Linked DNA regions of Danio rerio. The protein of the gene in region 1 purifies or fractionates together with the protein of each later gene. This does not show direct contact. Links are inferred from orthologs where the notes say so. Each region holds a gene or a part of one and is shown in the gene's direction. Other genes may lie near its edges.

Evidence for each region.
Region 2: the proteins of chaf1a (region 1) and cbx3a purify together in Homo sapiens (affinity purification with mass spectrometry; 5 studies listed by BioGRID and IntAct, with this or other methods). This does not show direct contact. The link is inferred for Danio rerio from reciprocal best matches to the Homo sapiens genes CHAF1A and CBX3.

The regions. Positions count from the first base shown.
Region 1 is NC_133197.1:22,139,836-22,143,655, reverse strand, and holds part of chaf1a (chromatin assembly factor 1 subunit A), read left to right. Parts: intron 1-329; coding exon 330-574; intron 575-662; coding exon 663-723; intron 724-805; coding exon 806-874; intron 875-3,360; coding exon 3,361-3,575; intron 3,576-3,705; coding exon 3,706-3,820. UniProt on the Homo sapiens protein: Acts as a component of the histone chaperone complex chromatin assembly factor 1 (CAF-1), which assembles histone octamers onto DNA during replication and repair.
Region 2 is NC_133194.1:22,210,343-22,214,901, reverse strand, and holds the start of cbx3a (chromobox protein homolog 3a), read left to right. Parts: upstream 1-1,568; 5' UTR 1,569-1,767; coding exon 1,768-1,770; intron 1,771-2,493; coding exon 2,494-2,633; intron 2,634-3,016; coding exon 3,017-3,185; intron 3,186-3,295; coding exon 3,296-3,390; intron 3,391-4,280; coding exon 4,281-4,407; 3' UTR 4,408-4,559.

The DNA.
Region 1 (3,820 bases):
AAACTGGTTTGTGAAGGCTGAGTAAATGTAACTATTTCTTTAGATGTGGTTATAATTTGTTGAAAACAGTAATGCCAGAAGATTGACCTACATTGAATGAATGAGAAATGTTTGCACAGTCTGTCTACAATGACTGTGAAGCTTTGAGTTTAATCACAAAACCAGTAAAGTTGCTGTGAATGGCTGAAGTTTGGCCTTTAGAGGTTAATGCATTTTTTCCCCGTCCCTCAAATTTGATCCAATTGTTAAAGAGTTAAAGGTGAATTGATTGTTGTCGCTGTGGAATTTTGTGCTTCAGCTGAATAGCCCTTTGTCTTTTTGTCCCTCAGAGTGTTCAAGAGCAGGAGGAGAAGCAGCGACAGAGGGATGAGAAAGAACGGCTGAAACAGGAGGCCAAAGCTGCCAAGGAGAAGAAGAAAGAGGAGGCCCGCAAGATGAAGGAGGAGAAGGAGAGGGAGAAAAAAGAGAAAAAGGAGAAAGATGAAAAGGAGCGGCGGGAAAAAAAGGAGAGGGACGAAAAAGAAAAAGCAGATAAATTAAAAGCTAAAGAAGAGCAACGGCAGATGAAAATTGAGTAAGTGACCCAGTGTTTCACCACAATGGAAACTGCGATGGGGTTTACCCTAATTTGAGAATTTAACTCTGTTTTAAACTTTATTTAGGGCCAAACTAGAAGAGAAAAGGAAGAAGGAAGAGGAAAAACGGTTAAAGGAAGAGAAAGATGTGAGTGTTTCATTGCTGAGAGTCTTGGATGTGACTTTGGCAAGCTGTGCAGGCCCTCATAGCATTTTTGCATCTGTTTTAGCGAATTAAAGCTGAGAAGGCTGAGATTACACGGTTTCTGCAAAAGCCCAAGACCCAGTTGGCACCAAAGGTAAGAATCACATAAGCATTTACACCCCCATAAGCACATAAACTGTAAATAAAATTTAATCAAAAACAATTTTAACAACCTCCGGAAGTGTTAAGGACCATGCTCAGATCGAGTAGTCAGTCACCGATCACTATTGGCCGATAATCGCTTGGTGGGGGGATTGATTTGCAATATCTACAAAGGCCGATCAGATGATCAGAAACTCGAGACACATTTTCTTTACATGGTGCAAGAACAGAGTGTGTGAATTGTGTGTGCCTATGCAACAGAGGGTTATGCAAACCCTCTACTTATGCAACTGAATATGTGGATATTAGTGGAAAATATGATTTCTTTACCTGTCCCATTTGAAGGGCTCCACAACAGCTGCCATAGCCTCATATCGTCCATAATTAGGCGTACTCAACAGGCGGCGCCGCGTCACCATGAAGATAGGGTATTTTTAAATAATAATTTATTACTTGCACCATGCCTTTAGGGCTATTCACCCATCTCATCCAAAACTGTGTTGAAAACATGATGAGCGCCGCTTTTTTCAGCAAGTTCAAATCCCTCACAAACTTCTGCTCTTTCCGCATTTGTGGTTAAGTGCATGTTAGGGCCGGGTGGTATATCGGGTTCTGGGGATGTATCAATATGATTCCCCAACGCCGTACGGTATTATCTAGTATCTTTCATGTCGATATGGTTTAAAGCCACATGTGTGCATTCTGTGCAAAATAAACCACTCCAAGGTAGCACGCAAGCTCCACTTGCACAAATAAGCGCATACGCAAATGAATAATTCACTCCAAGAGTCATACAATATTTGAACGTAGAATATTCATACAAGAACGAACGTAGACACCTTGTCAAATTGACAAGCAGCACCTGAATGTGTTCAAAAGAATTAAAAATACCTAAATGGGACAAATTTATACCGCATTTTGAAAGTGAAACCACCTCATATTCACTGATTATAAGTTCAGTATTTATTACATTCTCTTCTTTACATTTACATTAAAACACATTTAGCTCTTATATGCTTAACCAGCATTTAATCACAGTACTCTGAAACTATTTCGTTACTTTTCATATCTACAGTCTATTCGTTTTCATCTCCTTTAATATTTAGTAAAAATAGTTTAGTCAAAAACAAAAAAACTGTGTTTTTTTACATGGAGTGAAAGACTTGTTTTTAGACGTCTTCGATATGTGCACTTTTTAATAATTGTGCAAAAACATACAGCTGAATTGTTGTTTGTAAATCACAAAACTGCTATACAGGATTACTTATAAAAACACTGTAATTGTGACATAAAATACTGTGTTTCATATTTACATTCTATGTGGTTCTTTTCTATCCTACAATACGTTTTGTAGTGTTACTATTTAAGTGTAAATTTTTTGCTCTGACAATGTAGCTGTTTTCTATGGTTCTGTTTACTTTGTTGTTTGCACAACAGCACAGTAGAGCTGTGTATAGTGTTAAGCAGGCAAAAAAAACTGTACTTGATTTATTTATCAATCATTTTTTTATAATTTGAAATGTTGTGCAACTTGTAGTTTTAAGCAGGAGAAAAACCCGTACTATGTTTTTATCGAAGATTTTGTGCAGCTGTTATTTTTTTGTGCAGCTGTTTATTTGTAAACAAATATATTTTGCTCAAAAATGTTTAATAAAGTTTTAATAAAGGCTTTGACTCTAAAGTGACCATTTATGGGAAAATACCGGATATATATCGTATGCCATCGTTCGTCCTAAAAATACAGAGATATGATATTTTGTCCATATCGCCCAGCCCTAGTGCACGTGGGCCAGAGCCATAGAGGGCTATGGTGTAGACTACACTCGTATAGCATTTTAATGATGCAGTATCGCGTCTTTACAATTTATATTGTGTAAATGGCAGATGTTCCTTATAGCAGCATAAAAACCCAAACATATTCAAATTGTAACGCAACGCTCAAATTACAATAAATTGAGGTGTCACGTCTTTTGGTGTTAAAATTAGAAATGACAATGTGTTTTAAAAGCATTACCCCCAACATTCTGCCTCTTTTCTTAGTGGATGGCAAAATTAAAGATTATCATGGGCCAACTTTGGCCCTTTAGGCCCTAGTTTGAGTCTATATCTGCCCTACACTGTTCTTATTAGCTAACCAAGTACAGGCTGCTATGTTTTAGGTTGGAATGTTGCTCATCAATAAATGCAGTTGTCATATGATATTTGTAATATACATTTATAAAAACATGAATAATAAAAAGCTTCAATTAAACCCTGTAATCAGTGATCAAATTGATTAAGATGCGTCTTTAAAAGGTAGTTCACTCAAATCTAAAAATTGTCCTTCACTCAACTTTGACTTGTTTTAAACCAGTTTTTTTTGTTCTGTTAAAAATGTTTGAAATAATCAATCATTAACATTCATAGTATTTGTTCTTTTTGGCCATTTTGTCAAGTAATGTGTTAATGTAGGCATTTTTGTATGTTCTTGTGTTTCAGACTCTGGCTTCTGCCTGCGGGAAGTTTGCTCCGTTTGAGATCAAAGCACACATGTCTCTGGCACCGCTAACTCGAGTACAATGTGAAGACTCTGTGCTAGAGGACCTGGACCGCTATCTTGCCCAACCCGACAGTACTCTGAATGGACTGAAGGACTGGACAGGGCACAAACCTCGCAGTTCAGGTCCCACCAGACCCAGGCATAGTGCACAAGGGTAAAGCCACACTGAGCCTGTTGCTTGGATTTGTTTGTATTCAATATATACTCGTGCAGAACACTGTCAGCTGCATTTGTTAGAGGGATGTCAAAAGACATTTTATTTGGTGTATGTTCTGTGTTATTAGAGACTGTGTGGTCATAACTGAGAGCCAGAAGGCAGATGATGGACCAGACCGCAGTCGTTACGGCCGCATGAAGCTCCTGCATTTCCATGACAACTATCGGCCAGCTTATTGGGGA
Region 2 (4,559 bases), on another chromosome or scaffold:
AGGGGGATAGCGGGGTAAAGTGAGACACTTTTTACATTTTTACCCCTCTAAGCTATTTTCACCCACATGTTCCTGGATTAACATCTGTATATTGATCTTTAAACAACATTCCAATCAGCCAATCAGAATTAAGGGGTACATTTACCGTTTATGTTCAGTTTAGGCTTATGATTATGTTTATGCACTTCTGATGATTGTTATCCAACTTATTCCCCTCTGATTTTGAGAGTAATGTACAGTTATGGCTGGGTTTAGGGGTAGGGAATAGGTATGGATTACAATTTCCAACAAAAATGATGCTCCAGGATAAACATAGATGTTGATCCAGGATCAGATCGTACTTGGCAAAACCATGATGTGCGTATCTCGTCATCCTCAACTTCCTTAACCATGCAAGTGTAATAAACGCTTGTGTTTTTTGTTGCAAAGTTATCTATGACAAAGTCTCCCAAAGACAGATTTGTGTTTCTTGGACCACTACTCTCATCCTTAGAGCTCATTTCATCAGACACATTATCAACTAAGACAGGGACATCATTTTTCCCAGAGCTGCTAACTATGATTTTGTTTTTGGTTGCTTTCTCTTTTTTTTTTTTTGATTTTTCCTTTTATTTGCTATTCTTAAGCTTTTTGTTTCTTTTTTTTGGTGTTTTTTTTTTTGTTTGTCTTTTTTTATAGGCCTTTTCAAGTGTCACACGGTTTCATTTGGATTGTGTTCTGGGGAGACATTTGAGAATGGTAGCATTTCATGAAGAGACATGTATCCAGGTTGGCTAGAAACACATGGCACATCCATGTAGACTATATGCGCACTGAATGGAATAGCATCAGTTAGTGAACTATCTGTAAGTGGATCATCTGCAGGAAGTAGATCATCCAAATCTTCTGTAGTGCCAGGCTGGAGCTCAGGATTTGCCTAGTCTGACACCATGAATAGTGCAAAATGCTTTATCAAGGAAAATTTCCCATGGAAAAATTCCAGTGGACCTAAATCCAGAAGTGATGTTGCGAAGTGTCACTGCTCGTTTGAAGGCCTCGTTCACAAGTCCTACAATCTGGTAGACTAAATTTAACTTGTGCCTAATGTCTCACTTTACCCCACTGCCACATTTTAGAAATTTTTTTTTTTTTTTTTAGCAATTCAGACTAATCTTGAGCTAGCATACTCACATCGTTTTATATGTTGGTAGTTCATGCTTTCCAAAGCACCAGGAATTCCTATTATTCATGGTAAAGGAGATATGGAAGGGGCTTTAAAACAAAATTGTTATAGAGTGATATATAAAATTCGTTGCCTAGATACAGGGGGTATCTCACATTACCCCGTTCTCCCTTTGTTGTGTCATGTTCTGGATGTAGTAGGCAATAGGCTAAACATATAGAGAATCTGTTTTAGAGATCTGTTTAATGAGTGAACACTTAAATTGAAGTTAAGTGATACGGTGTATCTCTCAAAATAACTGAATCGAGATGTTTTGCCATGGTAATCTGCGGATGTGCTTTTGAATTCACAGGCGCTCCGCCCAACGTAAGACTCATTGGATACACGTGATTGCTCTCAGATAGGCGTGGCTTTACGTCCTCGCGTTCGATTCTGGCTGGCCTTCGTCGAGCCTCAGTCGGCTTTTCTTCTTGATTTATTAGTATCAAGTAAGTAAAACTTTTAAAAGTGCGTACTTCGTTGGCGCGGGAGCAGTTTCTGTAAAGCCATTTGCAGTTCAGAAGGCGTGAAGATTTGTTATCCAAGTTTTTATCTTATCCATTGTCATGGTGAGTTTCGCGCGCATGCCTCTCGTGCTGCAGCACCGTCCATTGTAGTTTGTTGTTTGAATGCTGCAGTCTTGTTTATTTTAGCTTATTTTTGTAAATCTGCTTTTAAGCCCTTTAAGTTGTTTCACTTTACAGAAATGTAGGATGCATATTGCACAATGTTTTGTAACGTCGCGATGTTTTGTCTGTTTCTGTGAGCATTTCCTGCTAGCAAGTTGGCTAACGCGGGCTACTGTAAACCAACACGTGTTTCAGCAAATATTAAGCGAACAATATTTTTTTGTGGAAAGTTATACGTTCACGCGAGCTGTGTGTTCGCCGGGAAATCTTAAACCGCTATAAATTCGAGTGGGAAGTTTGAAACGCTTTCAGGGCCCTTGGCCTGTTCATGCATGCGCAGTTACCATTAGCTCGCTAACATTCAAGCACACTTAAAAGGCACCACATACTAACGCGTTTTTAACCCTAGGCTAGCCGTAAAGGCATCACTGGATTTGAGAACCCCCCTAGCATATAGTATCATTTAATTTCTTAGTAAATGGGCAAACATTAACGTTAGCCTTTTTACTATTATATTACAAGTCATAAACAGTTAAACCTTTTCGTTTGTTATTTTGATACAAAAAGAGCAGAGTCTTAAATTTTTAACATTTTAAATTTAAAGTACTTGAAATGAATGATAAGGTCTGGTTTATGATGTCATTTGTGTGTGTGTGCATTTAGGTCAACATGGGTAAGAAGCAGGCAGGCAAGTCAAAGAAGGAAGTTCAGGAGATTGAGGAGTTTGTGGTGGAGAAGGTAATGGACCAGCGAGTGGTCAATGGAAAAGTTGAGTTTTTCCTCAAGTGGAAAGGCTTTACAGAGTGAGTACTTCGTCTCTTTTGCAGCTATGAAAAATAAACGGAATTGTTTTTGCATATATTTTGATTTGTGAGTGTAGCTGTATGCTATTAGATTGTAGGGGAAAATGACTCTCCATCAGGTGGTTCCAGTTTTTAATGATTTTTTTTTGAACACTAAAGATAATATAAAGCAACCTGAAAACCGGTAACCATTGATTTCTACAGCAGGAAAAGCAAATACTGTGAAAGTTAATGTAAACAAGTTTCCAGCTCTCCTCAAAAAACATGATTTGTGTTCAATGGAAAAAAAATCTAACAAGATTGGAGCAAGTGAAGGATCAGTAAATTACAATTTTCAGTTTTTAGTAAACTATCTCTTTAACAAGGTATCTATGTTTCCTCAGTGCTGACAACACTTGGGAGCCTGAAGAAAATTTAGACTGTCCAGAGCTGATCGCCGCATTCCTTGAGTCTCAGAAAGGAGTGGTGGAAAAACCAGAAGCTGTAAAAAGAAAATCATCCACTGATGAACCAGAGACAGAAGAGAGCAAGGCAAAACGAAAGAAGGAAATGGTAAGATGTTGTGTTGGTCATTAAAATATCTAGCAGATGTGATGTTTTTTTTAACATTGGTTAAATTTGCTAAATCTAAACTAATATTGTTTTTTGTTTTTTTACTGTAGTCTGACAAGCCTAGGGGTTTTGCAAGAAACCTTGAACCAGAGAGAATCATTGGGGCGACTGACAGCAGCGGGGAGCTCATGTTCCTCATGAAGTGGTAAGAAACTATTGTGGTTTTGTAATTGATTTAGAACATGTTTAGCTGAGAAAAAATAGTGGGGGAAGTCTTGATCTTGTTTTGAATCTGTTCAACTTCTACAAGTCATACTATATGAAGAATATTTGAAACCTATTTTAACTTGGTAAATAAAATGTTTGTTTGTTTTGTATGAAAAACAATCCACAAAAGAAAGCTATAACGTTTTGGAATAACATTTGAGTTCATTTTAAAGATTGTTTTAAAGGCCTGTAGAGGGCAGCAGTCCCACGCATAAAACCTTTTTATTAAAAAATAAAGAGGCTTACTGGAGGGCTCATTGTGTCGGCTTATTTTTATTCAGGGTTTCTGCAGGGTCTTAATGTCTAAAATCCCAAAATAAAAAATGTAGGCCTTAAAAGTCTTACATTTACTCTGTGTTGTAAGTCTTGAATGTTTTTTTTAAACAAGTCTTAATTTTCCTATGTTCGTGTATTGCTAGCCAATCTGGTCAAAACTCATACAATCACCAACAATCCATCTCAAATTTCTATTCAAAAAGGTAGTTTAACTTAAATTTTTAATTTGTGTAGAAGTGCTCCACGTGTTTACTGCTCAGGACACAATTATTTATATATAATCAAAGGTGTATGGTATAATTTTTTTTTTTTTTATGAAAAAAAAATAAATGTGTGTGTGTGTGTTTGAATCCATATCCATATTTTAAATTAAACTGACAAAATACATTTGTTTTAAAATCTAGGTTTTCAACATCCCTTCAATAAAGCATCCACAAGATAATTTACCTCATTTGCAATGCAGAGGTCATTGTTTTGAAGTGCAACACTGTACTTCCTAGTCTAATTGTTCTGTTTGGTCTCTAGATAAACTTCTTTGTCTTGTGTTTACAGGAAGGACTCTGATGAAGCGGACCTGGTTCCCGCACGAGAGGCTAACACCCGTTGCCCGCAGATAGTTATTGCTTTTTATGAAGAAAGGCTAACTTGGCATTCTTGTCCTGAGGATGAGCAGCAATAGCATCCCACATTTCATTACAACTTTCTGTGTTGGTGTCTTCCACCTGTGCTGTGTTGATAGCCTGTCAGTGGAGGATTCTTTTTGTTTTGTTTTTTCAGTTTATTGAAGATTTGTCTGGAAACTATGTGCATGACAGTAGTCAACCAATGAAC